Drosophila melanogaster: one gene and its partners. The protein of the gene in region 2 interacts with the protein of the main gene of each other region in a pairwise test. Each region holds a gene or a part of one and is shown on either strand. Other genes may lie near its edges.

Region 1 (8,208 bases), about 12 Mb from region 2:
AACACACCTTTGACGACGCCCAGGTAAAGTTTGCCAAAGGATCGGTCGATTGCTTTGGCCGTCTCCTTGTAAATGGCCTCCGAGTTTTCGTTGAGGAAGACATTCATGTTGTCACCCAGCGCCTTGTCCCCATTGAACAGATTACTGAAATGGTAGTGGCTGGACTCCGGCTTCATCGTTATTTTCAGATCGGTAACGTCCAGGTAGGTCTCCCCATTCTTCACCAGCGGTTTGCCCGAGAAGCTGACGATTGCCCTGACGTTAACTGGACAGGATTTTTAGTTCCTCGAAATCTGAAAAATCAATTGGCATAGCTTACCCATTGTCATGTTACTCTGTCCAGTTCCGCTGATCGGTAGAATGAGTACCTTGCCCTGGATGTTATAGGGTCCAACGAGTGAGAAGGTTTTCGTGACAATTTTCACTTCGTGCTTGGCGGTGAGATCCCTTCCGAAACCCCTGCAAAGATCAAGGCAAGTTGAATCACATCCTTCTCATCCAAACAAAGTGTTGTTCCTGCACCCACTTTACTTTGACGATCCTTTGGTCCTTGATCCCATACAACAGATTGTCGGTGAAGGTTAGAGTTATGCCCACGGGACTGGAGCTCTCACCCTGGCTAATAACCATCCGATCCACCTTCAACGGATCCAGCTGCATCAGGTTCAGACCAGGATCCCCCTCCGCCGAGTTTTCGCTGAACAGGGTGTTGCACAGCTTCATGATACATTCGCCATCACCATACTTACAAGGTTTTGGATCTTCGGCTGTGAGGAACACAAAGGATTATTTTGGAACCGAAAAGTAGAGGTAGGTGTCTATCTAGGTTTCCCAGATTATTACTTCATTGGCAAGGTCTTGTTTTAAAGGACTTTCTCTTACGGAATTTGGCATCCACCGAGACCAAAAGGCACAAAACCACTGCGAATGCGATTGCGAACATGCTAACACGTCTATAACTTTAAGTTACTGAATACGAACGGGATTTTCGCCTAGTATTTATAGTGGTCCACTAAGTGCAACTCAAATAACGTCTAATGGCAACCTTTGATATAGCTCTTATCTGTGCCGTAACCGTCTGTCTGTCAATTCCAGAGCTCGTTTCAGAATCATCAACTAATAACGAATAGCAACTGAATCATCTGATGGTATTAGGTAAGAAAACGTTGTTCTAATTTCAATACAAGCCTTAGTTTATCACCTCATTTGGGTGCACTTTAGACAGCAAGTAGATCATGTAGCAAATCTTCTTATTCACCTTAATCTTCATCAATCAGTTACATCGAAAATCCGCTCAATGAATTTAAGTATCAGACAGATTATGTCCAATTAAAAGTCATGGTATTAAGTTCTCCCTTAACAAAGTTAACTGGCAAGTGTGCAACTCACAAAAGGGCCAGTTCCAAATATAGCCGAATTGAGATGCGAAAACAACGCAGTCATCGTGACCACCAGTTCTTTAGTTGGCTTTAGTTCTTGCGAATCGAAGTGAAGGGCAGTGGAGGAGTAGCGGTGGAGTAGTAGCTCGGAACAGGTCCTAGACTTTGGGTTAACTTAATGACCAAGTGTCCCGCTTTAAAGTCCAGCCCCCGTGGAGAACAAAAGCAACTTGTTTCGCTCGGAATCGCTGCAGTTGATTGCTCGCTCGTGGAAGATTTTCACTGACCCAAGGCCAACTGGGTGTCCGATTCCCTGGGATCGGGATGGCAGCTATACCGTTGGCTACTCTTGAACTTGGACAGTGAAATGAGTTCGCAATGAGTGACAGCACAGTTGTGTTCAGATTAATAGCACTGCCATTTAGTTAGTTCTTGATTCTAAGACAAGCAGATCTTAGTCATATATCATATCATCATATCATATACTAATTTTAGTGCACTTTGGGCTAAATTAGTTGCACAGGATGTAGGAGTAGTAGTAGGAGCATGCATCTTCGTCTTTTTTAAGACACAAAGTATTTGCTCATAATAATTAAGGTGTTTATTTCAATTTGTTGGATGTTTTAATACTTTAAGCGTATGTATAACTACGCTTTTATCCACAAGTATAGTCACCTTAGCAATAATGCCTTTGTCATGCAAATTTCGAATCAATCGTTCCATCACGTGAGCTGCCTGTTGATTGCTGATTGCTGGCCAAAAATGAAACAAAAAGTGTATGCGACACTTGTGCGGAAATAGTGAGATCCACGTTTTAGCTAACAATGGCCCCCCGCAGAAGCAGAACCAGTTTTTTTTCGAATGTTTTTGTTTATTCTACAAGTTAAAGCTTAGCTTAGCAGATACGATGATACGATGATGATGTGTCAATGGCCGGAATGCCGGAATGCAACGCCCCATGTGAGTGAGAATAGCTTGGATAGGTGAGGAAATACTCGTACACTTAGCCTAAAGTCCTAGGGCGCCTGATGGCGACTAGGACGACTAGTGCTCAGTTCTCGAGGAATAAATCCTCGTAGGCGAAGCGCTTGAAGAGCTGCGAGAGAACGCTCTTCATGATCTCGGCGATGGCCACATGAATGGAGGGATGCAGCTCGTTCCACACCTCCGTCCAGTTGTCGTTGAGGAACTGATTCAGATTGGTGCCCAATGCCTGGTCGCCATTAAAGAGGTTCTCCAGCCGAATGTTCATCCTGTGGGAACACAAATATGTTAGTATATCTCAGCTAAAATCCGAACTGCACCTACTTTTGTGGCTCCACCAGAACCTTGAGCTTATCCACGCTCAGGTAGGTGCGTCCATTGCGCTGCTGTGTGCCCGGCTTGAATTTCACCGAAAACTTGGGATTGTGCAACACGATCTCGGCATCGCCATCGCCACGAATCGGCAGGATCAGGATGCGTCCATCCGCCACGTACTTGCCCTTCAGCACGATCTTGGGAAAGGATCCGTACATCTCAAACTTGCTGGTTGCAGGATCAGCGCCAAAGCCACTGAAAAATACGATTATGATGGATAAGTGCAATCAACTTAATATATCTTCTTCTGTTAATAAACATGAGAACTTCTTCACTTTTGCTTAAGAAGGAAATCACTTTTCATTTCACTTGCTACTTACACGGCTCTGTCGAACTTCACACTGGACAGGCCCTCCACATTCACGTCCCTGAAGTTGAGCTTTAGATTCAGGGAGCCAGTGCGTCCGTCGGAGATGTCGAAGCGCTTGATCAGGAAGGGCTCCACCTGGGGGAATCCAGCGGACGGATAGCCGGTCCTCGCGTGCTGTCTGATCAGCATGTGCGACACGTTGATGATGCAGCTGGTGTCGCCCATGTGGCAGCGCGGCAGTTCGGGAGCTGCAAGGATAAGCTGGCGATTAGCGAAGCACTGGGATTGTTGGCCAAAGGACTCACGGAAATTCGAGGCACCGCTAACCAAGCAGCAGAAGAGGGCCACGCAGCCCAGCTGGAGCAGCATCATTCTGGATATGGATCTAGTTACGTACGAAATTCAAGCGCCCCGAAATTCAACCGCTCGACGATTTGGCGAATGCCCGACCAGGTTCAATGGCAAACTGTAAATCGGCTCTGGACAGACGGCGGCATTTATAAAATTTCTGATCGGCCAGAACGATGGAGCGGCAACAAATGTGGCCAACAACAACCAGTACACTTCATAGTTTATTCATTCCTGACTTGTCGCGTCTTGGCCCTTGTTTTTCTTGTTGTTGCTGCTGCTGCTGTTGTTGTTGTCTGTCTGATTGCTGGCTATTTTTATTTATATTTTTTTTTTATTTATTCGTATGTGTATATCTCTTTCGCTTCGTGTTATGGATTCTCCTCATCATCATAGACATCGCAGTCTTTATCTTTATCGCAGCTACCCCTAACCAGAATTGGCAGCAGCATTATTATTAATTAATATTATTAGCATGCAGCAACAAATAACAATAAACAATAACAATGGCAACGCGCACAAAAGGCAGCGAAACTCAAAATTTTAATGCTCAATCCAGTCAGTTTTCAAGCAATTAACCAATATATTTCCACTTATCCTGCAATGCATTATATATATATATAATTTAATTATACATATATAATTTGCACTATATTTCGGCATCTTGTGTACTTTTTATAGATTCAAACTCCGTGAAATGGAATCCGCGCTTTGTTCACACTTTTAATAAAGTGCAAATATCAATTCGTACTTATTGGCTTATGATATTATTCATCCCATATTTGCTTTGAGATCAGCACTTGGAATTGGGAACCTACCTCTGGGGGAATTCCTAAGTGTGCTAAATGGCCAGGCAATCTGAAAGGGAATGATAATGAATAGGTCATGGTTAAGGATCCACGATAAAAATCACTTAAGTTATGAAATTGTATTCCGACCAGAAGGAAGAATGCATCCCAAGGCTCCCAACTATGAAATTTCCGTTTTGGACATATGTACGAAGATAAATCTTTTTGTGGCCAACACAACTCAATTCCGACATAAACCAATTAGACATAGTCGGGCATTTTGGACGACATCAAACAGGTTCCAACGGCATCGATAATCGATAATGGATGGATCGACGGATAAAAGTTGCTCGGCGAGGTGGCTTCACTTTCAAAACTATTGGACAGGCGACGTTCGGAACGGGCCGAGTGAATTTAATTTGGCAAATTCTAGTTAAAGGCTCCTGGCGTTCGTCATCAGCAATTAGCATATACTACATATATACATATGTATATGTATATTTGGTGTGTGATTGGCATGAAACCGGCATTCTGTTTATTTACCCATCCAATTGGCGCCAGGTGAGTCCAAATATTTCACTTTTGTCCACTTTGATGTGTTTGCGCAGCCAATTCCTAGACGCTGTCGTAGACATCGAGATTACAACGGATTTTCGGGGGCGAAATATGGTAATATATGCAAACACGCTTTTATTTTATTACGTCGGGCTTGCCTGCAAATAATTTGGCATTTCAATTTTGAGTTGGTTGATTCATCTGCGCGTAAACATGATTTCGTTTTTCTTTGTAAACTCAGTAAATACGTTTAGTTTATAACTAGTTTAGCTACGTTGTAACGAAGTGGAAAGCTTATGAATGGCGGTTACTTTTCAATTTTTAATGAATTCACGATGAGTTTGGGAATTTTTGGTGGCATTCTGGTTTGATGTGGTTTAATCGTTCTGAATGGCATTAACTTTTTCTGGTTCTTAAATATTAATTTCAAGTCTGGAAATTTCTAGCAATGCTTGTTTTTCACAACAAACTAAGGTTTAAAAATATTAATATTTGTGTTCGTTAGGGATAAAAATTAATTTGTTAGCGAAATAATGTTTGAAATCATTTAAAGTTTCCAACTATTCCGGACTAAGAGCAAAAATTAACCATAAAAATTTTTACTTAATTTTTGTATTACTTATTTATATAAGATTTGGCTTGGAATGTCCAACAGCACAATCTAATAAATATAAAGAAAGATTATAAAGCATACATATAGTTTACACTTTTTCAATACTTTAATATATTCTATTGTTTATAACGAATTTATTGATTACAAATATTTTCAAATTTGAAATTGAATTGTAACCGCCTTTGACTGGTTCCGAATCGACTGGCTCTCCACGGAACATATCGCCACATGCGGTATAATCAATGCAGCTCCCTACGGTCATACTATTAACCACATCCACATCAGAAGTCTGAAATCTGATTTAAAAACTCTCACGAAACTTACTTAAAACCAGGTGAAATAAAGACTGAATACATTCTGGAGGCAAGACAAGCTGAAGCAGTATGAGTGGCAAGCAGGTAGTCATCCTTCTGGGCAGTGTCCTGATCCTGGGATGCTTACAAGTGGCAGCGGCAACGGAAACGGATAACAAAACCAACGATTTCGTGGCCACCGACGAATGGCAGACGATTGCGGAAGGTTAATGGCTAGCCAGGCTAACTCTCGGATGACGTGTACTAAGTGAGCACTCTATATTTCCAGGTCAAGCTATTCCAAGGGGCCTGCACGTGCGCATCAACCTACAAACGGGGCTCAAGGAAGCCAAACTCTTAGACGAAAGCGAACGTGGCACGTCGCTGCAGAGTCAACCGGATGATCAGAATGCTCGGGAATCTCACGATGACAACGAACCCCTGGCTCTGGACTATAAACCGGACATAATCGAGGAGTCTATACGGCGGGTCAAGGAGCAGAAGAAGAGCTATGCCGAGCTACGCAAAGCGTACAAAGAGTTCCAGAAGAACTTTCGCACCGACGGAGAACTGATCGTCCAGTTAATCGATCAGTTTCGGAACTTCAGCAGAACGCCGCTAGAGTCAGAGATGCGCTCCAAGCTGGACTGCCTGGAAAATCTGGAGTATTTGCTCCATCAGATAGACAATGCCTTGATGTTCATTGATAATGGGGGATTGGATGATGTACTACTGCCCATTGTTGTGAACGATACCAGTACATCCCTGAGAGTGTCGGCCATGCGTGTGTTGGGCTCGCTGGCGAGCAACAATCCCAAGGCCCAGATCAAGGTGTTCGAAAAGAATTTCGGGTCTCATCTGGCTCAGATTCTGACCAGTTCCGGAAATGTCGGTGAGATCTCCGCTGCATTGCACGCCTTTGGAGCCTTGTTGCGGAAATTTCCGCTAGCCCAGCAGCGAGTGCTTTCCACCTCGGGTACACAGGCTCTGATCAAGGTGCTCCAGAGTCCGGATGTGGAGCTGCGGAGCAAGGCGAAGGTAGTGACTCTCATAAGCGACCTAGTGCTGGAGAAGCGGTCAGTGCTGGATGTCAGCAAAGATGATCCCGAAGCCTCATCCACAATGGCGCAATATGTGCTCTTGGACTTCGAGTCGTGGCTGAAAACGCCGGGCTACTGCGCGGCGGTGGACACTGTGCTAACCAAGGAGTTCCTGCTCCTCCTAGAGCAACCGGAGGTGGTGGAACAGTTTGCCACCGCATTGGAGACCACCGAAGATATGTGCACCAGCACGTGGTCGCAAAGTTCCGGTCTCAGGCATGCACTATTAACCGTTCGCAATCGGTATGCCAACAGCACGGACGAGTACCGACTGGAGGTGTCCCAGATTTTGGCCAAACTGTGCGAGAGATTGTTCAACAAGCCCAAGCACACCGAACTGTAATCCTAGCCAATTTACTATGTTATTTATGTTAATTTCATTTAATTGTAAGCTGAGTTGGAATGAAATTCGCAGCCAAACCATAGAATACGATAGCTAAGATGCCAAGTACTTGTGATGCAAAAATAATGCTCTTTGTCATTAACTTAGGATAGCAATCAATCATGCCAAACATCTACAGGATTTTCGTTATCAAATATAGTCTCTTACTTAAGATTATTTTAAGTGTGATTTTTTTTTAATAGGCAGACGATTCACCAACGAGCACATCAAAATAATTATGTTGTTACACGTCATTAAACTAGCAAAAATTTGTATGCTACAGAATTGTTCTCCAAACAGATTATGAATCCTTAAAGCCTTAAGTTCTTGTTTATTGTAGCTACAATAATAAAGCAATGACCTAATGTTTAATTTAGAAATTCTTTCTTAAATCAGTTGACTTCTTTTCAGTGGCATATTCTTAAAATGTAGTGCTAAATTATGAAAGGAAATGTATTTTCAATCAAGAAATCGCATTAGGAGATTGGATATTCCACCCCTATAGAACTACAGACCCATTTAAAGCCCGATAAGGCGAGCATAATCGACCGGGCCATAAAGTAAGTCAAAAGTGTCGGAAGGAAAGCAAAAACGCCGAGGAAAGCATGTCCCAAAAAACCACTTGAAGTTTGAATGTGAGCCAAACGAAGCCACAAGAACAGGGAAAACCTGGCACGGAACTGTACAGGAGGAGAAAGGACATCGGAGCAGGAGAGTGCAATTATGTGCCGGCAAAGTTGGAAGTTGGAGTCGAAGTCCAGCGCGGGAATTACAGCAATTAGCGGCAGTCACATGCAAATGCAATGTCACTGGGGCTGAGTCACGACGGTGGATGGTCGGATAGGTGGAGTGGTAAAGGTGAAGCAGCGCCTGGAAGGGAGCCGGCTAGGACGCCGCCTTGGTTCCCATGGCTACTCCATGCAATGTAAACAGAGAAAAGGGGTTGCAAAGCCGGCTCAGTGGAGCACAACGCAGAGAGGCAGGAGAGGATTCCTGAACTGGAATTCACTCATCAATTCCAATTCCAGCTGGGGCGCGTGCGCAGTGGCGGCGAGCTGTTGTTGTTGTCATGGCACTGCCC
Region 2 (7,455 bases):
GTAATTAGGCTACTACAACGCTCCTAAAAACCCCTACCCAAATTACCAACCCCTTCTCACTACTTGTGCCAAAAAGCTAACTTTAACTTTTCCAGCTTGGCAAGCCTTTAAGTTCGTACCTAACTTCGTTTGTCTGATGCTCGAAAGTGCACTGTCTGCCGGCTTCATTATGCAAAATGCAATGGTACACAAGCCGATGTGAAGAGGCTGCTTGTCTCCCTTATGAGTTGCACTGTTCAGACTTATCCTGGCCAGAATGGTATTTTTTTGGGCCCTGATGGTGCCCAAGCACTCACACATACACTGCATACACTGATGGCATTTTCATAATCGAGAAAAAAAGGTACCGAAAATGTATGTAATGCCAAATTATTAAGACCCAGAATGAGTAAAAATCTTGGAAAGAAAGAAAATTTCAAACTTCAACCCTATTAACTAACATTTATTACATAGAATTACAAAAATATATTGTATAATTATTCTCAAGGCAGGGCATGCCCACTGCGACTTGGATAAACAATAACAGAGATTCTCTTACACTCGTATATGTTTTTCATATCACCTGCGAAGAAAGCACACACACAGAATCGGTGTGTCATGAGTGAAAAAATAAAGGAGGTGAGCAGTTCGTGTCTGTCTGTGCCAAACGAGGTACGAGTGCAATATTTATATTATTGCAGCTACGGCGCCACATTGCAGCGACATGAAATGTTTGGCGTTGCATAAAAACCAAACTTAATGTGCACTCCCACGGGAATGAGGATGAGTTTATTGCTTTTGCGACTCGAGGTAACGCATTCTGTCCCGTTTGTGTCTTCTATGGGACTGAATGATTGTCACAATGAGTAACACCATGATCACGATCAGGATCACCACGCTGATGGCCGACATGCTCAAACTGACCGATTTGGAGGCCATTGCAAAGCTGCTAAAGAGGAAAATTAGTTCCATGGAATCTCCTAGCTTTGAAAATGAAACGCCGGTTAGGAAGTAGTAGGTAGAAGCGCAGTTAAACAGTATCATAATCAAAATCATGGCCACCAGCTGCAAAAATGGGATATTTAAATGTTCGAAATTAGACTTCACCTCCATTTGGCCGACCACCCACCACCAATCGCATGTGCAGACGGGTCCTGGAATAATTCGAGTGGTATAACCAGGTGCTCATGGCGTAAATCAGGCAAATGTAGGCAGTTCCCACGCAGACCACTTGATGGCCCAGCTGCTCATAACTGACGTGGAGGGGCAGGACGTTCCCAAACACCGACGCGTTCAGCACGGAAATGATCTGCGGAGCAGATGACTGGGGTGAGTCACAAGGTCAGATATTAGATGGCAGTCAGGTGCAACTAACCGCCGTGAGGAATAGCAATAACGATACGATTTCCTTGCGGGAGAGTAACATAATGGACGTAACTGGTAATTTAAAAATACTGCAACAGTTACTGATGTTTAACTCAAGGATTGATAAGTCATTTTCTACTACTCATTTTTAATGTGTATTATTCCAACAGGAATGATGGAGTAATTTTAGGTGCATCCGTTTGGTGAATTGCCAATCCCCTGCTGTTGTAGCTCTGTTCTCACTTCATATCCTTTCGAACAAGGTCGTGTTCCCGTCTTCCTAGATTGCCGGCCTATTTGATGAGCGCAAAATCATCGAGAACAAATTGAAATTTGCACCCATCGTGGAAGCTTATCTGCGCCACGCAGGCACTTGCAATGCCACCCATTCCACACAAATGGGAGCGGCAGGCAGCCGGCGCTAATTCATCAACAGTAAAGGCAATTTAGATACTCATCTACCGGATATCGACAGCCAGGCAGCCGGCAGAAGGCACAAGGCAGCCATGTAAGCAGATACCCTCGTCCTGTTCCGAGGACTCCAACCCATCCATTCCGGCGGCTGAGAGCAGCGCGGAGCGTTCTGCAGACAGGGTTTCATAAAATATTGATGGACGTGAAGTTGGCAGCGCATACTCGCTTCCTGTTCCGTGTCTGTCGCAGCCATAAATAATTTGCTGTAAATGCAATCGTGGGGTTACGTGGGGCATGGCATGGGCTACCCTGTGGTTCGAAGTGGGCGCTTTGGGTGCCAGTGGGTGGTGGGAGGTGGGTGGTCATCCGACGGTGGGGGCAGTGGTACGATGCTAATGGCAAGGCGCACGGTGCGAAAGTGTTTCGTATGAATTATTCGCCGGCAGCCAATTTGGAGTCACGTTTGCCAGCACAATTGAAACTGAACACCAACCATCGAACCACCGGCCATAGTGTCAATCCAGTGCTGGCGATTGCAGATAAGAATAAATAGCTATTTCAAAGGGAATCTCGAGTATATATAAAATGAAGAAAGCTTTGGTTATCTAGCTGAATGCAAGGATCGATTGTCTTATTAAAATTGATCAATAATTGTTAAAGACATAATCAGAATTTTTAGAGCAAATAAAGAAACGTGAGAATATTATAATTATTTTGTTAAAATTCAGTTTTATGGATATGGTAAATGTCTTACAAATATATTTGGCTTCTAATCTCTATACATAATATCCTTGATATTCTTAGCTAATAGCTAAGGAAAGTCTATTTCAACAGCACTGCCTTCCTGTTGTGAACCGCCTGTCGAAATGGTGTAATTTGTTATGTCTGCCACTGTAGCCGACCATGTCTATCTTCGGCCCGGGCTGCTTTTTAATAGCCATTCTCCTGCTGGCCGACTGTTGCTCGGCGGTTGTTGTGCCTTTATCGCCGGACTGCCTCCACTCCACCGTCGCCTACTCCTGCTCCTGCTCCTGAGTTCGTCCTGCGCCGGCAGGGTAATGTGTATTTAATGACGCCATCTCATGTACAATGCCCGTATCCGTTCTGCCATGATCCTGGCCTTGTCGACGGACACCGGTTGTCCTCCAGCGCCTAATGTCCAGTGACCGCAGCCATCTGCAGGATAATGCCCCGGCTCCTGGTCGACGGGTGCCAATAAAGCTGCGCCCGCTGGCAGGCATTTCAATTTCGTGCCTGCCCTGCTTTTTTCAATATTTTTAAACGGCAGCCATAAAACGTGAGCGGTAATGTGCGGACAAGGCTGTTTAATTGTACCCCTGCCCTCAGGGCAATCAGCAACTGTTTGTCTCAGATTACGATGGTAAGTCTCTCGATGTGTTTAAACAATAATTGAATTTAAGTACGTTCTCCAAACAATAGAATAGAAGCCCAGAAGAGCAATTCATATCTTGAAACCAGTGCACTGGCAAACTAGTTTGACATGTATGTTCGCCAAAAATTCTTAAATATTATATACTTAATGAGATACAATAGGGTTTTTGGTAATTTTGGGCAACCAAGACATACAGTATCTTTATAAAATCAAAAGGAAATTATGATAACTAAACTTTTATACACAGCTTCCATATCTAGTGATCTTTATTTTCTAGTCATTATCGCAATCTTATTATTATCACTCCGAATATCATCATATTTTTTTTGTGTACATTACTAATATATATTATCCCTAAATCCGTACAGGGCAACGATGAGTCTAAAGGATCTCAATCTGACCAAGGAGCAAATGATCAAGCTTCAGCAGTTGCTGGCACAGGAAATAGAGGACGAAAGCCAGCAGGAGCGGAATGAGCTATCAAACGATGATTTCATAGCCAATGCACTGGATAAAGTGCAAGTTTATGTGGAGGCTGGTAAGCCAGAGGCTTTTGTCCAGCTCAAAGAACCGCTATTATACAAATTTAAGATTACCTCAAATGGAGTAGCTACTGGATCTTCGGAATCGGATAAGTTTCAACGCGCAGACGCCAAGGAAATTGCTCGCTGGAAATCTGACCATGTAATAAATTTGGATTGCATTTCAGACGAGGACTACGAGCAGTTAAGCCAAATTCAAACCGATGAAAGTACTGGAGAAACCTACATGCTCGTGCCCATTGATATAAACATACTCATTGACGATACCGAAATAACTCCTGATACTTCCACAAAGCGTATCACCGAAAATGACGCCTACAATGCGACGGGAGCGGGACACACCATCTATATGCATCCCGAACAAGAGGGGCATCAGACTGGTTTAGATAGAAATCCTCAAGCTAAACACGCTTGCCCGGCTCCGCCAGAAGAGCAGACCAACTACGACTACCACATGCACACTTTCGAGGTGCCCAAGCTGAGTTTTCCCTTTGAACTCAAGTTTGGTATTGATACTGATCGATTGGTGGGTGGCAATGTGGATAAATCGGCTGAGGACTCGGGAAAATCAGATCACGACGACGATCTGGGGGTAGCTACCGAGCTTCAGGACGTCCTAGAGGATTTAGAGGTATAAAGATCATCTTGCTTTTTAACGCCATCAAGGAAATCATTTAGAACAACAAAATTTGTAACTAGCTTTCCAAGTTAGGTGCCTCTCGTTAACTAAATCTTTGTCTTAAATTATAAATATTTTATGAAATTATGTACAAGCTAAAATAATGCTACAGTATTTACAACTTTTTTTCGTGTAAGCATTCCCATTTCCTAAACGTAAGTAATGTGATTTAATTTAGTAGACCCAATCTAACCGATTCAATAAGCGTTCGAATTGCTGTTGCAGTAATAATAATGCTCTTAAAAGGGGTTGGTAAGTAGCCTACATGTTCAAATGCTTAACTAAATGGCACTTCCTCTCAAACAATTGCACCTAATTGCAGACACTTGACCTAAGCTGCATAACAATGACCGTCCACCCAATTAACCCCCCGATATCGGACTTATATATATATATATACATATCGACCAGCCCGCAATGCAATCTCATCCCCTGTTCAATACAATTTCCATTCAGCTTGCAGCACGGCAAAGAGAATATGATAAGAAGCAATGGAAAATTTGCATAAAGCTTTTAGCCTAACGACGCGACATTTGTTTTTTATGTGATTCATGGACCACCCTCACTTTATGTTCATTTTTTTCCATTTTCATCGCAGAATGCAACAACTACCAACTTCCGCACAATTATTCAGCAATTTTAAGCACAACAATCGGACGGCAGAAGGGGTCGAGCTGGGATCTGGCGGAGATCTGGTTGCATGCCTGATTGCCTGGGGGCCAAAAAGCTAGGTCCTTCGATTCCGACATCGACTTGGTCGCTTAAGCAGATTGAAACAATCTCCGGGCTGGGTAAGAGCTTATAGCCCTCATGGACAAAGGGGGGAGGAGGGTTTTCTTTGGCTTTTAACTTTCGCCGGGACTGCCATTATTATTATTCTCCGGCGTCTGCCTGCAACTGTCAGTTGGGTAATTTATAATGAAGTTTCCTTATTGACAGTGGCAGCTTCCCTTCGAATTCCTGGCTCCCGATTCACGATTCGCACTTCCGCTGCAGCGATTCTCCTGCAGTTGGGCATAAATTATGGATGCCTCTATATAATATATCGCCATAAATTGCTTGTCAAGTCGCGAGTCGACAGGCGAGCTAACTAAGATGCCGATGCCGATGCCGATGCCGGCAAACAAATAACAATCAAAATCACTTTTCGACCCCAAGTCGATTTATTTATATGGGACGAAATCTCGGTACTGAGGCCTTAATCGCTGAGGCCAGCCGCATCATGAGATCGTCAATCGTTTTGATTTATTGCTATTTTATTTGCGCATATCCTTATTTGCCTTGGCCGCAAACTTCGAACCCCAATCAAGGCCGAGACTATTTTATTGTTCGATAGCTTATCAGGCAAAGGCAAACAGACTGAGCGCCTTGGAGGCCGGCAAATATCATAATTTTCGCAGGACACGCTGCCCTGTGTTTGTGTTTGTGCTGGTTTCGTCCTGTCACAATGCCGTGCAAGGCATAAATCTGAATTAAATACCATTTTGAGCTGCTCGCAAGGAGTAGCTGGTCGGAGAAAATGTTTATATTCAGCACATTGTCACTTGTTGTGGCCTCTTTCTTGGACTCAACTCAACTCAACTCTGGGCCAGAAATTCCGCCGGGAATTGCTGCTCAGTGGCCCGGGCAAATAAATATTAATCATTGTGTAATAATTTTCTGCTGTCAGCTAAATTCAAGCAAAGTATTCATAATCCACAAGTAAGAACCGCTTTTGACAAATCGCTTTGCGGGCCACTCGCATAAATATTTATATTTATATTCCATGTAGGCCGGCAGTTAAAATGCTTTTAAAGTTGCCGAAAGTTGGGCGCCAGTTGCTGATTTGATTTTTTCAGCGATGTTTCCATTTGTTTTCTCGCCAACTTTCGGCAACTGTAAATCAGTTTGAGATCCTTTGATGTGTGTTTTGGGCTTGGGTTGCGAGAAACGAGATTGCAATAATCAAAATGTAATAAACAGAGGCTCTCACACATCCGCTTTCAACTGGTCGGGTCAAAACCAAAATGTTCTTTATGCACGGGTCCTTTGTACGTGATTGTGTGAGTGTGAGACCTTCTCATCTTGTCCTTTGTGTGTGTGGCTCTCAGCATTCGATGCACGTAACGCATTGTTTGAATTTCATGGCGACTTTATGAGTTTTGTAATCAGGTTTGTGAGCAAACAGACCCAAAAACACACACGCAGCCTAGCACTCACGTGTTAACCTGCACATAAATATTGTTTCTGGTCGTGGGCTCACCGATTCTCAGATGTGGGCGTGTTGACAAGCCGGCCGAGCAGCCAACCGCCCGTTAATGCTAATGAAACCCAAAGTTTGGGCTCGCCTATTAAGCCATTTTGTGGTCTGCAAAATCCACTTAAAACGTCTGGCGGCAACAAAATATTTTATTGCATACTCTTATGCGCAGACATTACCTGCACCTCTGCCTCAGCAATCGGTAAAAATGTTCAACAATGTGATTTATACACGCTGGAAGCACTTAAAACTAGACACACACTTTCACAATAGACTGGTCACACCCCCGGAACGCCCCTTTTGTTGTTTGCTGGCACTTTTGGAGCTCTTCCAAGGATCAGAGCTTAGTCAGCACACATGGAAAAAAAATCAGACACATTTTAAACTGTTAAACTTAAGGATATATACATAGATACAATATAATTTTAAATCGTACGTTAATCATGGTCTAATTCTGAAATGCTATTAGGCAGTTCCTTAAGCAGATTCTTTTATTGTAAAATAATGACCTCGTTATCCTTGGTTTTTTTTCTCGGTGATACTCTATTGTCTGTTTGCCAAACAAAAGCCTCTCTGCAGTTGATGACTAGAAATTAACTAAGCAGCAATAGCAGCAGCAACAATGTTGCCAAGACCGAAGCAATGGGGCTGTCTCAAAGACCGGAGGCCCCACCCCCACCACGGAAAGCAAACAAGTAGTATTTCCAACCCCTCGGCTTGCAAGTCTAGCTATCGGCTGTCCACTATGGAGCATTAAATAAATATTTGCCATGCTCTGCAGGAATTTTGAGACCCCAAGCCCAAGGAACACATCCCTGCCTGCCTGCCTGCCCGTCCGACTGGG
Region 3 (7,409 bases), on a different chromosome or scaffold from region 2:
GGTAATCCAATGGGTCTGTCTTAAAGCGCACATTTTATTAACATTTATTAACTTTTCGAATATTAATATTATTAATTTTTCTTTGTGTGCCAGCGGACAACATTTTGTGGTTTTCATTGCTGTTTTCGTTGTGGCAGAAATCCTTTTCCGTTGGACGCGGAAGTGGGTCCTGCGGGCAGAGGTGTATGGATTGGGGTTGTCACTGTGATCGGTGGGTGGCTTGGTTGGTGGGGGGTGGGGGGTTCCGAAGGGGCGCGTTGCACGCACGACTACATTGTCAAAGTTTTGTGTGTCATTATTGTGGCTGTTGGCGGTTGCTCTGTGCCGCCGTTACCCGCTTTTCCTCGCCTTTTCCCCGCCTTTTCCTCGCCCTTGCTGCCTGGTTGTGTCCCTCGTGGTCGCAATCGTGTTTGTTGTTGCGGGTTATTAAAAACTTTTACCGCTCTCAAAGACCCGCCCACAGAGACAAACGACGCCCATCCATTCGCACCCGCCCATCCAGACCGCTGCAGTTGCTCGTTTTCATTTTCATTGTGAATGTTAATTACTCCAGCGGCGGTGACAACTGCCAAAGCCAGGATCTGTTTTGGTCCAGGACCTGCCAGTGAAGCTGCTGTCCGGCACTTCTACACTTCATTGGCACTGAACAAATCTATGGATTACATGTTTTGAAGTTCCAAATAATGTTTATTGCAAAAGAAACATAAATTAAATCCTATCATTCAACTCCAAATGAAGCAAGAAGTATTTTAATTTGTCCTTCGAATTACCGTTTAGCAATTAAATTTCTGTATTTGTAATTATATATATGTTTTGCTCGCTGTGTACTTCCTTTGCACCCATTTTTTTACTCTGCTGTGTTCCCCTTTCTGTGGCTTATAATCAAACTTATTTACTTTATGTGACTTTTATGAGAATTAAGCTGCATGCGGTCGTAGTGGCTGGTGCTTTCATTTATTCCGATCATGACGATGCTAATGACGACGTGGATGAGATGTGGACCAGTTGGGAACCAACGGGACAGTCCTTTAATTAGATATATGGTTCCAAAGTGCAGGCTCTGGATGAGGTCTATCCAAAGCAGGAAATAAGATATTCTACTAATTTTAAAGAGCATTGGTTAAAATTCTGAATTTATATTTAGTATATACAGCTGGTTAAATTGGATTCCGAATCGATACGAAAGCTTATAATAAAGAGCCATTAATATAAACGATGATAAATATGCCAATATGACGCCAAGACTTTCCGGCCAACTTTCCAGGTAATGACAATAAATTTTTCCTAAAAGAAAAATCATCACGTAGGCAATACTTAAAGACAGCTGGAAAGCTAAAGATCTTTGCTCTGATGTCCTGAGGCGGATATTATTTGAAGGGAGTTTCGCCAAAAACACATTTTTTGATATGTTGTGTCACGCTGTGGGGCTGTCTGAAAATTAGGGATTGGGGTACCAAAACTGTAGCCACGTGTTTCCTTTGTCTGGTTCTTTTGATGCACAGTTGCAAAAAATGACTTTGTTAACTAAAAAAGTCTATTGTAGCTTTAATATCTCAATGATCAAATTATTTATTTTGTTAGTTTGCTGAAATCCTTTTTGTTTATCACCATATTTATTTTATGCGAAGGAAGTCCACACTTTAATCTCTCTTATGCTAACCTTAGCCCGACTCGTCTTCTTCCGGCGGTAGACGCAGCAGACGCAGCAGACGCTCTCCGTACTCCGGTCTTCGAACTCCAGGCTCCGTTTTCCATTTCTCCGGATTCGGCGACTCATTGTCTTTCGGCGGGCTCACGTGCTCACGTACGAAATAATTATAGCGCAAGTACGTGTCCCGCATTTGCGAGCACATGGCTTTCTCTTTGGCTCTGGTTTTGCTTTTGGCCCAGACGGGCCATCAGTTTTGCACACCCCCATCCAGTGAACACATTTCCCAGGGCTGGGAAAACAGCCCATTTCATTGGCATATTTATTTTTTTCCCATTGGCCGGGACCATTTTTAGGCATTTTCCGACAGTTTGGCGCTGTCCACATAGATTTTTTTTCGCTACTGTTCTTTTGTTTTTTTTTGTTTGACCAAAAAAAGTTGCCCCAAAAGTTTGTTTTTTTTTTTTTCGTAGGATTTACCCCATTCTTTTTAAGCCTTCGTTAACAATTCCCTCGGCTTTCGATGCGAGTTTTTATTTCTGCGAAGAGTCCCTGAAAAGTTGGCATCATGTGGCCGCTGCTCTGATTGTTTCCAGACCTCCATTGAAACTGTTGTCATTATTATTTTTTAAAGATATTATGGGGCTTTTGTGGCACTCTGAGAGGGGTAAACAATGGTATTGGAATCAGGTAGTCGATTGTTAACGGGGATCCTTTCAGACACTGGTAAACCCTTGCTTTTTATTGCAATTTGTTGATGCCAGTTCGTGAATGAATATGCAACATATTATCATTGAAATAAAGTAAATAAAGTAATATAAACAAATTTTTTTGTTTTACCTCCTCTATAACTTTCACAATATTCTATCCAAAGTTAGCTCCCCCAAAGCCCCAAAATTAGCAACCCTAATAGGACTTACCCCATGCAATTATCTATCTTATCGTGACTCATCGGGCAGATTAGTGAGGAAGTTGTCATGGGGTCTCTCGGCAACAGGCAAAACTCCAACCATGAGTTGGCCACGACATTCTCGTCCTCCAGAGTGGGGATTCTCGCAGCTGTTGCATTCTGGGCCTAAACTGTGCGTCTACTCAACCACAAAACACACAAGTTCCACTCGGCGAAATCCTGCGATGAGGAGATGAGGAGGTGCCAATATATGGAGCTGCCACAAGGGGCATAGTGGAAGGGCGCCCCGAAAACTCGCAAAAGTTTGCTCCAAAGTCCAACATATGTTGCCTGTTCATGCATGCCCTCGTACTCCCCCTCTCTCCACGTCTCCCCTTCCAAATTCCTTGCCCTGCAGTCACTAAGTTAGTCATACAAATGGAGAAAATAGATGACAGAACCATGTTAAAATAATGGTATGAAATAGAGGTTGTAAAATCGCAAAAAAATCGATTCAAACATAGTTAAATCATTGATGAAATCTTATGATATTTAAACATAGACAATTTTCATTAATAACGAAGTCGCTTTTATTTCTTTAAGTGCACGACTTTCATACACATACGGCCATCCAGCACGTGTGCCAGTGTGTGTGTGCCAGTGTGTAATTATAACAAGTTTTCTAGGCAATTTTTCTGTTTTCCTTCTCGTTTTTCGCCCCAGAATCTCGCTAGTTCCCCCGTTCTTTTATTTTATTTTATTTTTTTGGGAACGCTTCTGTTGGGTATCTGAAGAGCAAGAAGTAAGTTTCTGATAAGAAAGTTATGATGAGTTTTCTTCACTCACACAGCGAGCAGAAGATGGCAGCACATGTACACACAGCTGTTGATTTTGGCCAAATTAGTGCAAACACGTCTTGTTTTGAGTTGTGGCCCATGTGGAACATGTGCAACTAATTTGCAGTTATCAAGAGTTCTGCCTTCGACGGGGTTGAACGGATGAGCTCGTGGTCAGATGTCTGTATCTAATCCATCTGTTGGGGCATTGATTTTGGCATCCCAGATACATGCCACCAAACCCAATCCACCCACCATTGTTAACAAATTTCCATTTCCGGTGGTGGCCACAAAAAGCGAAAGGTGTGCGGATGGGCTTTTTCGGGCGGAGTTGGAGCTCGGAAAACCCCGCTGGCCTGTCTGCCGACTGTCAAAAGTTTATTTATTTGACACCGAAAAAGTTGACACAGACACCAGGCCGGGGGCGTGACTTTGTGCCTGAATCGGATTTATATGCCTGGCCAAAATTGGATTACAATTGAGTTGTAATTATGCGACAACAAAACGTTGCGTTCGAGGGGATGCGGATCCTTTTTGGGGTCCTTTGGAGCTCACCGCCTCTGTGTTCTGTTTTCCATGTTGTCGGCAATTTGAGCCAAGCGCTTGCTCAACGACGTCTTTTGAAATTTCGCATTTTGCATTAATTAAAACTGATTTAATTAAAGCTTGTCGTGTTGCTTTTAAGTACTTCAGGAACCAGGATGAGAGTAACAGGTCCTCGAGCTAGGACATCCACTAGCGCATCCAATCCACCCCATGAAAATGATTGAAGCGAGAGACCAAAGTGTTCTGGACTTGTCTCCTGTCGCCCTCGCCAAAGATTCTTTGTCGTCTTTGAGTAGGTGAAAGTTTAATTAAATATGCATCGAGCGTACACAAGTATGTGTACTTGTGGGCCACATAGATCGCATAGATATTTCACCGGAAGTCCCCCAGTCGGATTATGTCGGAATTAGTTATCCAAATTTTTTGGTTATCTCTTATCTCTTGTACAATATTTCACATAATACCATTCCACAATTCAGCTTTATTTGTCTTGTCACATATTTCAGATGCTCAGGTCTCATTGAGATTTCTATCAATCGGTATTGTGTGCTACCGTGTCAGAAAAATATTAGTTATTCGAAATCCCCAACAGCAGCAGAACGTTTCGATCGAAATTTCAGTAAGAACAGCTTTAAAATATTCAAAATGAATCCATTTAGGCCAAATCCAGGTCAGAGTTTTCGCATTCGCTTGAATATGGATCGCGTGCCGGGCGAAGAAGAGCGCAATATACAGCCATCGACTGATGAACGTCGAATCACCCAAATTCCACCGATTCAATTGCGCATCGATCATCAGCGGGATGTGAATCGTTTCATGATCAATATGCGTGTAATGCTACATCGACGGAGGACGGAATTAAATATGGGAGGCGGCGATAGTATCGGCGTGTGGAACTGGAGGGAGCCTCCGATGCCAAGCGGTTTGATTGGCGAGGGCGATTGTGATGGCGGTGGCTATGGTAATTACGCTGGTGACTATCATCCACCATTGCGGGGACTGCCACCAAACCCCTAGGATCTGTACCTTCTCTTACCACACTTGCCATCACTGTCTTTTGCCTCTCCCCTTCCTGTGCGTGTGTGATGTCCTTTTTTTCATTTCTGAGCGTCGTCCGCAAAAAAGAAGAAAAATGTCATCATCAGCTAAAAGGCCCGAAACCCCAAACACAATCCACTACCACTTCCATTCTCATTGCCACCTGAACCAGTAACCCTTGGAGAAGAACGGACCCTGTTCGGACGCATGTTGTTCTATTATTATATCCCCGTTGAGTTCTGGGTTGATGATTTTTCCATCTCCCCAAGAAAATTGATGGGCTTTGGAATTGGAGGACATGCCGAGCCCCGGACGCATATAATAATTTCCTGTTCAATGAGCAATTATCGTAATAAAGATACAATTCCGCTACTCTATATTATATTCGGATACGGGGATGACAATGGTGGTCAGTGGGCAACGATGGTGGCCAAGAGGGGAACAAGCGCACTGACGACAACGATGATGATGATGACTGGTCTCTTCCGCACTGATGTGATGGATTGAGCCCCAGCTCAAGTCTGATTCCTGTCTGTCATGTCACTTTTTCCATGGGGTTAATGGGGGCGTGACAAACATACGGGAAAAGCGCACGGAAAGTTGATTGAACTGCACTAGTTAACTATTCCCCGAAATGACTAGCATGCCATTTCAATTCTAGATGAATTTGACCCCAATATAAGCACTTCATTTTACTTACTTCATCCTAAAATGAACTTCTCAATGAAAGCTTCTATTTTAATGCATTTATTCTGAAATTCGTACATACATAGATTGTAGACAAATCAGGATGCCAATTGAAACAGATTTTGCCCTCTCAGCTGTGACATTTGCATAATCAAAGAAAATTTCGAGCGCAGCCATAGGAACTTTAGTGGGTGTTTGACTTTCATTATAGCCTTCTAGCAGCTTTAGGACTTCCCAATCACTGAGACCAACTGGCAGGGACTCGAGAGTATCAATTCGGGTAGATAGATGCCGTCCTTTATTCTATTTATTCTGGTTTTTTTTTTCCCCCTGCCATTAGCAGGCGACGTCAAGCTGTCAGACGAAGTTCGTAGCCTTTTTCTATGGGGTTTCATTTGGGATGGTCTTTGTTTTGCTTATCGAGAGAACATTTTATTGCTTTATGCGTTTAATGAAGTGTTGCTGGATCGTCGGAGTCAGGGAGGCACTCAAAAGCCCCGACCCTTGGGACACCCAGACATTCAGACATCCAGACAGCCAACCCTTCGCTTTCACTTTTTGAAACGGGCTCCAAGACAGAAAGCGGGCAGCATACATACATATCAAACATTTCTGACAGTCTATGACGTCTGCCAAAGGAGTGACTGACTCACTGACGGACTGGCTGGCTGGCAGGCTGATTGACTGATTGATGGACCGCCGACTGCCTTGGAAACCAAGACCGGTGTCACTCACTCACCCACGAAGTTCGCATGTAATGCATAAAGAATGAAGCTTAAATAAAAGTTGGGAGATGAGAAATAGGATTAACTTGTCACACAATTGAATTTAATTTCATACACAACGAGGGCGGTGAGGAAAAGCATCTGGAAAACCCGACCAGACCAGACCAAAACAGACCAGACATTGGCCCATCTCTCTCCTCACTTTGGGGAATATATAGACTTCGAGTCGACTCGAAAAATGCTTTTGTGGTAATCCCATGCTGAAGCCGATTCGGGGGTTTTGTAATGAAATTACACGAGCCTCAGATTTGTCAAAGCAATCAATACACCCGGATGTGCAACCATCGACCTGAATGGACCGGCATTCGATGGGCGGAGTTCCTTGATGAGCTTCTGCCATTGAATAGTGGACAGGTAAAAAAAAAAGAAAACCCATACATGTACGCCAGTGAAGTTTTGTATAGGCTTGATGAAAGAATGTGGAAAAAGAATTCTGATGTTTAAGTTTTGTTGCAGCCCTGATGTTGTAGAATGCCCAAAGAGAGGGACTTGCCCAACCGTCCAAAGGATCCTTTGACAATTCCCCATTCGCTTTTCATTATGCACATCATCCATCAATTAATTGACTGCACTCCATCGCCTCATTGCGTATGCCGCTCACATGCCGCTTGTGTCTTTGATTAGCGAAAACAAAAGCGAAAGAGTGACGGGAGTTCATTAACTGTCACACAAATGTGGCAAAGTGGAAGGCTGCACGTGGGTGGGGAGGTGTGTAGTGGGCGGGGTTGTTGAAGGACAGTGGGTGGTGGTGCACCCCATTCTATTCGTACATATGCTAGCACTCACCACCCCTGCCCTTTCGTCCGTTCAACTTAATTAAATAGCATCAGATTCGAGGGTGCGGAATCCTTTGGTCCGAGAAGTTAGCCAACAAACTCGCTCACCTACACCCAAAAAAACGGTTAATACACAACGTGTATTTCAACTGAATCAACTGCTATATATATGCCATTATTTGCTCATTATAGCAATTATTAAGT
Region 4 (9,246 bases), on a different chromosome or scaffold from region 2:
ACCATGGAATTGCGATGGCAACACTGGGCTGCGCTTTTCCCCAGTGATTTATGCCGCCCGGGCGAGGCAGCTCGATTTGGTGGGTGCGGGTGCAGTTGCTTAAGCTCCAAATACCCCGGCACTGCAGCACCCACCCAATCCTCGAGAATTTCTTAATGGTCAGATGGTTGGTTGGCTGGCTGGGCGTCTCGTTACGTGACCAGTTGGAAAAAATGCAACAAAATGTTTTCTTTTTTAACTGCGAAAGCGAAAATCGAAAGTGCCAAGTGGCAGATTGTCGGATTGCCGGTCGGCTCCTTGGATTGAAGCCATCTACTCCTCCTTCTTTTGATCGCCAGTGGCTGGTCAATTGCCGCATTGCATCATCTTTCTCATGGCGTATCTCGAATGGTCGTCTGGCGGGCTGTAAATACCAAATATAATTGTTTAACTGTCCATAAAATTGAAGAAGCATAAAAGGAGACCCTTTTCTGCGTCTGCCAACCAGCGTCCATTGAACTTGGCGCAGAGTGAGTGGGTCTGATGGGCTCCAAAAACGCCTCAAAGACATATCTTTGAGCTGCCTCAGACGAAACAAAATTTCACACCAATGTGGCAGAAAGTATCTGCTGAATTGGTGGATGCCCGCGACTACCTGACAGTGTCCCATCCATCAATCGGTGGAAAAAGATTGCGCCACAGGTCAGCAGGTGTTTGAGTTGTTTGGGGGTGGAACTCATAGGCGTAGAGCCAGATGATCTGCGGTTTGTTTTCCTCGAGAACTACCAGTTGAGACATCAGAAAGGTGTGGGAAAATGAAGGCGAATTGCATCAAGGAAGCTGCATGGTTAGATCAGGGATAATTGGCGTGGGAAATTAAGGTATTACTATTATAACATATATATTGAATGGGCATATAGGAAACGATCCTTACACTACTTATATTCGAGTATATTATCTTAAGGGTATTACCATCCAATTTATGTATACTACTGATTACTATTGTATAATTACCCAAGTATCTAGAGCAAAATTGTTAGTGAGCGGGTTTCCTAATCATTTCGCTTAAACACCAGTCAAATACGGCACGAAACCGAAACTCTCTATTATATCGGCAGTTCCCTTTCGCCACATTTCGCCACATTCCTGACCATTAACTGCATTTGGTTGGCCACAAAATCTGTCGCCATAAACCGAATGAACGTAAGTCTCGATGGAGCAAACTTGATTTATGAGCGATTGCAGTTGCAGATACGTATATATTTCGCTATCGCCGCACTCTCACTCTCGGCTGGTCCATTTGGAAAATGGCATGTCAACGGAAATTGCTTAATCATTTCCACGCATATCATGTACACCTCGTATACATATGACTAATGCCATCTGTCTGTGCTCTTCCTTTCCGCGCAGGTAAGTTTTACTGCTATCGTTTTTGGGCCATAGGCAGTTAAAGGAAATCATTGCGTAAGTCAATAAAAAACGGAGTTGATTTGTTTACTTAGGACTTCCCCCCCGGGGGAGGAGTTGCGTAATCCCCGGTTCCTGCGAGGAAGTGGCTCGTAAAAAGGGAGCCATTAGCATGTGCAGTCTGAAAAGCGAGGCGCATAATGGATTTTCCAATCAATGCAGCCCATAATTATGCTCACCAATGAAGTTATTGGCTCATTTGGTCAGGCGGCTAGCGAAATAAGTGGAAAATGAACTGAACGGAGATACACTCCACTCCTTGATTATCGTGGCCATCATACGAACATATCTCCTTCACCACCACTGCTACCTGACCCCTTGTCGCGCCTAACGATCTTTAACCTGACCAACAACGATCCCATCCCGGCCATCTCGGCCCAGACAGTCTGCCAGTCTTTTGTTGTTTATTGATCGTCGTGTTGCACAGCATTCAAACGTGCGTCGAGTGAATTTGTGTCTTTGTATCTTTGCATCGCAGTACCTTTGTATCTGGCGAATGCATTTCGTTGTATCTCAAGTGTATGGGATTGTTTGTACCAATGTTTGTCCGGCTCATTTGCAAAATCTGCTGGGTAATCAGACACCGGCTAGGGATGTCAATTAGCTTATGTTGCTGCTGCTGCGGCTGCTGTTTTGCCAAGTGCGTGACCATTGAACCTGCATTTCCCATTTCCCATTTCCCTGCTGCTTTAAGTGAAAGTGAAAATGCCAGTCGTTCGTTGAACTTGCTGGGAACTTGGCATAAGCAAAGCTCTGCCGACCCTCAGAACTAATTGAAGATTTCATAACTCAGCATTTATGGCCCTTTGCAATCTCAGTGTCAGACTCTAGGAGTCTAAAGCAGACAATTTATGATACAAATTAAATGCATGAAAATTATGATGAATGCGAGGCGAAATTTATGCTGATGACATACCCAACAAAAGAGCGCCAATCCGCCCAGACTCCTACGGCTTCACAAGCTCCTTCTACCTCGCCTGCTCCTGCTCCTGCTCCTCCTCGTCCGCTTCCTGGAGGGCAGCTCCAATCAAGAGCCAGACGATCCACAGACAACAAATCGCCGAGTCAAGGAGTTTGCGGCCCAAGTCGTTTCTGTGTTCATGGATACACGCAAAAAACGATGTGTTACATAGTAAAATCTTTGGAAATATGTATATTATTATGTAGCTCGTTCTTAATAACTAAGATATTTGAATTTACTACACTTATTCGTGCCACTTTCTCTAAGTGTAAGTCTGGATCTGGTCCTAAGTTCCATTGCCTCCCGCCCCTTCCTTTATGGTTTTTTGAGCAGCTGCATGAGGGGCGGGGAGTACAACGAGGTGGACTCCTTGTGGCTGTGGCTGCCTGCCTCTAGCCGAAAGTTGTTGCGTATTTAAAATGGAAATTGCAAGTTTTTCGCTGAGCGTTCCCAATGTCTTTTCCCTGTCTCTCTTGCTCGCTCGTCGACGCTTTTGTTTCACTTTCGTTTGCTGATTGCAGGTTTTTTGTCTTAGCTCATTTTGATTTTATTTCTCCCGTCTTATTCGGTGCATTTATCACGGTGCCACACATTTGTGCCACAAGATGCCAGAGAATCGGGCGGGCATGGCCAATGAAATTGGCCGCAAGTTTCCTTTTCATTTTCATTTTTTTTGCAAATTGAATGCTGCTTTTCAAGCCGATTTCAAGGGTGAACGATTATTGGCCAAGACACCACACTCCTTTCGCCATGATATTTGAGTGAAATTTCTTCATGCAGATCCATCTGCAGTTTTGTCATCTCTCGCTGGCAGGTTATGAAATATTTCGCAACTTTTGCTGCGAAAAATTTCCTGTTTTTCTTCATTTCACTTACGCACTTCTCTCCTTTGGCGGAGTTCGGTGGGTTTCTCGGCCGATTGGTATTAATTATTATTATGGTCTCGTTTTTGTTTCGCCTTACGGATTTCTGCAGCTTTTATTTTTAATGCCCAGCGAACCTGTTGCAATGCGTTCCACAAGCTGAGATATGCGCCTGGGTGTGGAGAGATGAATAGTTATGAGGTTTTAGGTTTGGCTAGCCAATCTTGGTTTTCCAAAGGGTGCCTGACACTATATATTTAGTTTTATTTACTATCATAAAAGTACGAATGATCCACTTCTATCCCATGACCAACTCACGTATGTTCGCCCCATGCTATTCATCCCTTAGTCTTTTCACCCATTAAAACCATTTAGCATTCATTAAGCCCAATTTCTGCCCCATCCATGGTGCTCGGAATAATCAACAAATTAACTAAATTCCTAGTGGGCGCCTCCATCCCCAGAATAATCCAAATTCCGAAGTTGTGACATCAAGAAATGTCGAAGCGATTTCAAGTGCAGCCCCGGGGAATCTTGGGAACATATTCGAACATTCCCAATCGTCCGCAACCTGTTTGATCCGTTGGTTATCAAAGATATTTCCAAACATGTTCGAAGCGAACCTCATGATGAGGTTGCATGGAATCCATAAGATACAATCCACAAGCTGCTTTGCAGCTACAGCCCAGCGGAATTTCAATTCAGTTCGCGCTCAACTCACAGACACGATGGTCATTCAAACGCGTTAACGAATAATAATTTAAAATAATATTCAAATGATAAATACACTAAAATATGCACTAAACCACGCACTAAACCTAAATCCACGAACTGTACATATTTGTGTAAATAAATAAAGTATAAACAAACAGCGAAGAGAAACCTCGAAATACCAATAGACCGCTCAAGTTCCCATACATTGAGCTGGCCAATCGTGTTTGAAATTATTTGTTTGATCGATTTTGTGCGGTGTGAACACCTTGTAAAGGCATTTGCAAACCTATTGCCATAGCAAGCAAAGTGTGTTAAGCTGGGAAACACCCTCTGAAAAGTTTATGTACTACCCCCTTCGATCGGTCGAATAATAACTACCACAAGACAAGCATTAAGTTTGTGTTTACGTGCTGCTGACTAATTGCGTTTATATAGCCCGACTATATAAAACTGTACAATAAGACACGGCCAACTGTTTTAGTTTGAACGCCTCAGTTAAAGCTGCAAATTGCTTCGCTACCAAGTGAAGTTCTACATTTTCGCAGCGAAAACGTTTTTCAATTGATTTTCATTAAGTGAAAAAATCCCGAGATTGTCTTCTTTTCGGTTTCCAATTGATCGCAATTGCACCAGACCCATAAAACATATATACAAAGTGAGGCTGCATTCCAAGTAGAGCAAGACAGTAACCACTTCATCATCACAACATCAGATGCTGCATAATTAGCATTCGTTGCGTGGAGCGTCGAAAAAAAAAGCGGAAAATGTATCTCATACAGGTGAGGCCAAGCGATACAATGGATCCCCCTCTCACGATTAAGTGTTTGCTCTTACTTATCACATGCTGGCGGCACTGCACTTGCCGACTGAAAAAGATCTTCATTTAAGCGTTTTTTAATTGTCCGCCAGCTGAGATTTTCAGCATTTACAATTCTCCCCTCCGTTTGAAATGACTGTGAGAGGCACGCATCTCTGGCGTATATAATTTGTTTAATTTGTAGCTAATTTATCTTTCCACTTGGCAGCGGGCAGATCGGATGTCGAGCAAATGGGGGGGGGTTCACTGGAGCAGGTGCCTCATTACTGAACTTTGAACTTGAAACGGTGTTACGATTTACAGCTGGTAATGGATTACGGTTAGGCATCGGGGTTCGGGTTAGCAGAACAAATGTGCAGGCCTGAGATTATGAAGGGAACTCAAATATTTTGACATAACCATTAATCATTTGTAAATGATATACATTCAATCGATTGCTTTTGAGTTATCTGTCAGCATTGCCCTAAATTATTTAGAGATTTATTCCGAGTTTATATCAAAATTTGTGGAATAAGTATGTCAGAACAACCGACACAACATAAATCCGACGATCGCTTCACTATCCTGCAAACCTTATCGGATGTAGTGGACTCTGGTCTCAGCAAGGAAGCCCTTAAAATCTGCATCGAACTGGTGGACAATGGTGTCTGTGGTGGAGCACTAGCACATGTAATTCGAACCATTAGAGAGGAGATTCAAGATGATGAAGATAAGGAAAGTGATGATTCCGGAGAATCGGCTGCATCAACAGACTCAACTTTGTAGGAAATGAATATAAAATATATTTTTGTGTTTATATTTTGTGTTTGTTAAATTAAAAGTTCAACTTTCCGATGGTCTGTTTCCGAAATTTGTAAGACGCTGGTTCTTGGACATCCAATTGCATGATTTTTGAAGGCTTTCAAGAAGACTTCGCCACTCTATTTGCATTCATCAAACGCAAGCGACTGGCGTTTCTGAAAACGGTATATGTGCCGGCCATGATAATGAAAAGTTGCACCACTTTGGCTTGATAGTAGGTCTAAGATGATAATGTGTTTAGATAAAAGCTTATAGCAAACCGAAGCAACAAACGACTCACCTGTCTTATATAGATGGGCAATGGAATGTGCGATCGATGAACATGGTAATCCATTCCTCTGAACAGCCAATAGCCCGGCCACGCCCCCAAACTGGCGAAAAGAAATGGTGCTGCAGTACTGTAGGCCTTTTCAAAGGATTGCGAATGCACCAGTAAACGTATCTCCTCGCCAAGATTATGCATCCGAGGTGGGTGGGCTATTGCCTTGGCTGGTTCCTCCTCCTTTCGCTTAAGCCTCGTCGAGAACTTCTCCTTCAGATTGCCGTAATAATTTTGGATGCCCATCTTGGAAAGGTTTAATTTTCGACCGAAAGTTGTGTATTGTGTGTGTGTGTAAAGTTTGGACAGAAACATATATCAAGGCTTACCTGAACTAAGAGGAGTCTCCGATGTCAGCTGTTTCTTCCTGATTATTGTGCACTGTATGCATTTCTATTGGTATGCCGGCAGGTCGACCCATTGATATCGTGAACAGACCAGTGGCTAAGATAGCCAACTGCATTAGCTTGGCCTGTTGATAGGTCTGAAATGAATAGTTTTCAATAGGTTAGACTGCACGGGGTAGACTGCTATATTTCAAACCCTTTGAATGTAAAATGCGATTCTCTCCGTTTTTCGTGCGGACTGCCAGTTGTAGCCGCGCCAAATCCAAAACGCTGGCCAGGACAAAAAGCTGACCTCCAGATAGGGCAATATATCAATTATCTTCTTCGATAGACCCTGAGGTGCGTTGCGATCTACGAAGTCAACAAACTCTAGCTCGTAGTTTAAAGCTGGAGCCGTTTGTTCCCTAAACTTTTGCAACTTGACATCTGGGGTTGGAATATCACCAGAGGTTAGGGGTTCAGTGGTATCAGGTGCAGTTCGATCAGAGTCCGGCTTCCCAGTTTCCTGGCTCGAAGCTTCTGGTATTTGGTTTGCAGTGGTTTGGGTTTCTTGTGCATTCTCTACATTCTTAGGACTGTATACCACCGCTGCAATGGGGGAAGTAAAGTTATGAAACAGCTCTGAGATCTTCTGGAGCAGCGAATCCATGCTGAAAAGCTGAACTTTTTGACTATTAATTTTCAATTTTCCCAAAGGTGCCAAAGCAAACAAGAATAGCTTGCTGGGTTTTTGGTTTCGTTTGAAAAGTTCAAAGACTCGAGGCAATTGCATAAATTATCGCCTTAACTCGTTCGTTCATGCGGGCTTACATTTGTTTTAAACTAATTTACCCTATTCATTTTTCTATTTTCTGTCTTTTTATTTTGGGGGCCCACAGAAGCCGCAGAACAAGCTTCATTATTGCCGGACTGCGGGTGCCCAAGATTGGGGTTCTATAGTACGAGTACGAGTATAGTCTATATGGTGTATGGTGTACAGTGTGGTGCCGAAGTGGGTCAGTTGGTGCAGCGGTTCATGCAATTATAAAGCGCATATCTACAGGTTGCATACCAGATACCTCCACTTCCACTTCCAGCTCGACTTCGACTTGGGTCCATTGTGTGGCAGTGGCCAACTGCTAACGGCTCGGACTACGGCAGGTGTCTCATCAGTTCATTGTGTGTTTTTAGTCTTTCCACTGGGTCTTGTGTTTTTCGGTTGAAAATGTGGCTTACCTTCGGCGACAGCATGGAGTTGTATGGCTTTTGCCGGGACAAAGACGCACCTAATGAAGTGAAAATCTTTGGTTCTATTGTGATAGTTCTTTGATTAGCGGACTTCGTTTGGAATATTCTTAAGCCACTCCTGATGGTTCATCGATCATGTGGAAAGTTGACATCTAACACTCTAACAGTTCTCTGCATCTGCGGATGAATTGAGAAGACTTAGAATTGATCCACTTGCCCACTTATTTACCTGAGAGTATCAGCATTACCATTTTAAAGCCATTATCTCTCCCCGTTTCCAGCATCTTCAGACCAAACTACTCAAGCGTTGAGCCTGAATGGGGCTTTCATTCAAGACGCTTTGAAACCACAAATTGCATTTCTACGACTTCACACAGATCGATTCCGAAACTCTCCGTCTCTCAGTATTCTATCCACATTTCTCTGAAACTGCGGCCTACACACAAAAATGCCTCTACCCTTTTAACTGTTCAAAGTCAAGCTCAATTAACCCAATTTCAATTTGGAAAATGATTTGCAAAAGCCAAATAAATCGTTTTGAAAGTCTTCGGCCTGTTGCCAAAACACTCGAGCATAAATCAGCACCACAACGAAATTTCTTTGGCCAAAACGCCAACTCGCTTTTGGGCCCACCTGCAATTAGTCTGCTCAGGTGGGTGTATACTCTTATACTCTCTTTCACTCCCCGAATCGTGTGAAATTGCAACTTTGACTGCGGTCAATGTTAATAAAATTTTCGATAGAAACCATTAACTGGTAACTTTACTGGTAAATTGTATAATCAATTGACAGCTGTAAATGTCTGGGTTTCCGTGAAAGGTCTGCTCGTGTGACAGGTGACGACACTTCAGGTGTCAAGTGCGCAAAATTCGGTGGAGATCGGTTGCCAAAACAGTTTTGATTACATTAACGGACGTTGCTTAATTTATGAGTTTGAAATGGTTATGTACAGTGATTTTTTCGAGTGAAAACTTTTTCTGATGCTGTAGAAATGGCTGAAAGATCAATTAAAGCAACCATATTCATTTATAAAGATTTACCGCGCTGTTTGCTTGGCTAAAGATACATTTGAACTCTGAATACACCACTTTACATCTAACAATCCATGGGTTTCTTGTTGAAAAGCTTTTAAGCCGAAGACTATCTAAGAACTTTTCAAACCCGGCTCACCTTGACTTTCCATCAAGCGCTAATCTTGATCATTTTTAACTGCATTCCCCTTATCCACTTTGGGCTACCGGCCTTGTCAGAGAAGCAATGAATCTTCAATCTTGTGAACCTGCCTGCAACGGCAAAAAGCCAATCCCCAATCCTCAATACTCGAATAGTACGCCTCATCGTTCTTCTCTCAGCATTATTATAAAATGCCGCATCACTGGCCGCCAATCTCGACTAACCCATCTCCAAAGAGGCCCGCATACCGAATACCCGTGCATATTACTCAATTTTCAATGCTCAGATTTCGGACAGACAGCGAAAAACAAAGGGCAAAACGAAGATGCCACACCAGACTATACGAGTATATAAACACAAACAATGCCCGGAGTTGACACTTTGACAAATGATATTGCGGCTGAGTCGATAAGAACTCGGAACAGAAAGCCTCATACATCAGAAATGCGACATATTTTTGTTCCAAGATTTTTTTTTTTTTTATTGCAAGAGCCAACAAAAAATTCTAAAGTGAATGTGATGCTTAGGCTATCGCTAGAACCTTGGATTGCCGTTACACTGGGTCAACAACTTGGGCA

Evidence for each region.
Region 1: the proteins of CG8508 (region 2) and Jhbp7 interact in a two-hybrid assay, tested with the Drosophila melanogaster proteins (one large-scale study listed by BioGRID).
Region 3: the proteins of CG8508 (region 2) and CG15576 interact in a two-hybrid assay, tested with the Drosophila melanogaster proteins (one large-scale study listed by BioGRID).
Region 4: the proteins of CG8508 (region 2) and Svil interact in a two-hybrid assay, tested with the Drosophila melanogaster proteins (one large-scale study listed by BioGRID).

Annotation. Positions count from the first base shown.
Region 1 is NT_033777.3:25,232,925-25,241,132, reverse strand, and holds Jhbp7 (juvenile hormone binding protein 7), read right to left. Parts: upstream 3,520-8,208; 5' UTR 3,421-3,519; coding exon 3,354-3,420; intron 3,297-3,353; coding exon 3,059-3,296; intron 2,934-3,058; coding exon 2,688-2,933; intron 2,633-2,687; coding exon 2,431-2,632; 3' UTR 2,238-2,430; downstream 1-2,237. Other genes in the region: to (takeout), read right to left, coding at 1-265, 320-459, 527-767, 883-943; Sil1 nucleotide exchange factor, read left to right, coding at 5,736-5,871, 5,935-7,088.
Region 2 is NT_033777.3:13,182,540-13,189,994, reverse strand, and holds CG8508 (uncharacterized protein), read left to right. Parts: upstream 1-3,498; 5' UTR 3,499-3,526; coding exon 3,527-4,330; 3' UTR 4,331-4,469; downstream 4,470-7,455. Other genes in the region: CG14380 (uncharacterized protein), read right to left, coding at 769-1,044, 1,109-1,288, 1,355-1,405.
Region 3 is NC_004354.4:4,249,794-4,257,202, reverse strand, and holds CG15576 (uncharacterized protein), read left to right. Parts: upstream 1-4,412; 5' UTR 4,413-4,564; coding exon 4,565-4,936; 3' UTR 4,937-5,333; downstream 5,334-7,409.
Region 4 is NT_037436.4:2,384,019-2,393,264, forward strand, and holds the start of Svil (supervillin), read left to right. Parts: upstream 1-3,973; 5' UTR 3,974-4,748; coding exon 4,749-4,763; intron 4,764-5,246; exon of another isoform or gene 5,247-5,317; coding exon of another isoform or gene 5,318-5,566; exon of another isoform or gene 5,567-5,702; coding exon of another isoform or gene 5,703-5,822; intron 5,823-5,882; coding exon of another isoform or gene 5,883-6,167; exon of another isoform or gene 6,168-6,216; intron 6,217-6,250; exon of another isoform or gene 6,251-6,255; coding exon of another isoform or gene 6,256-6,405; intron 6,406-6,464; coding exon of another isoform or gene 6,465-6,917; exon of another isoform or gene 6,918-6,971; intron 6,972-9,246. Other genes in the region: Mzt1 (mitotic spindle organizing protein 1), read left to right, coding at 5,318-5,566; CG32299 (uncharacterized protein), read right to left, coding at 5,703-5,822, 5,883-6,167; CG32298 (uncharacterized protein), read right to left, coding at 6,256-6,405, 6,465-6,917.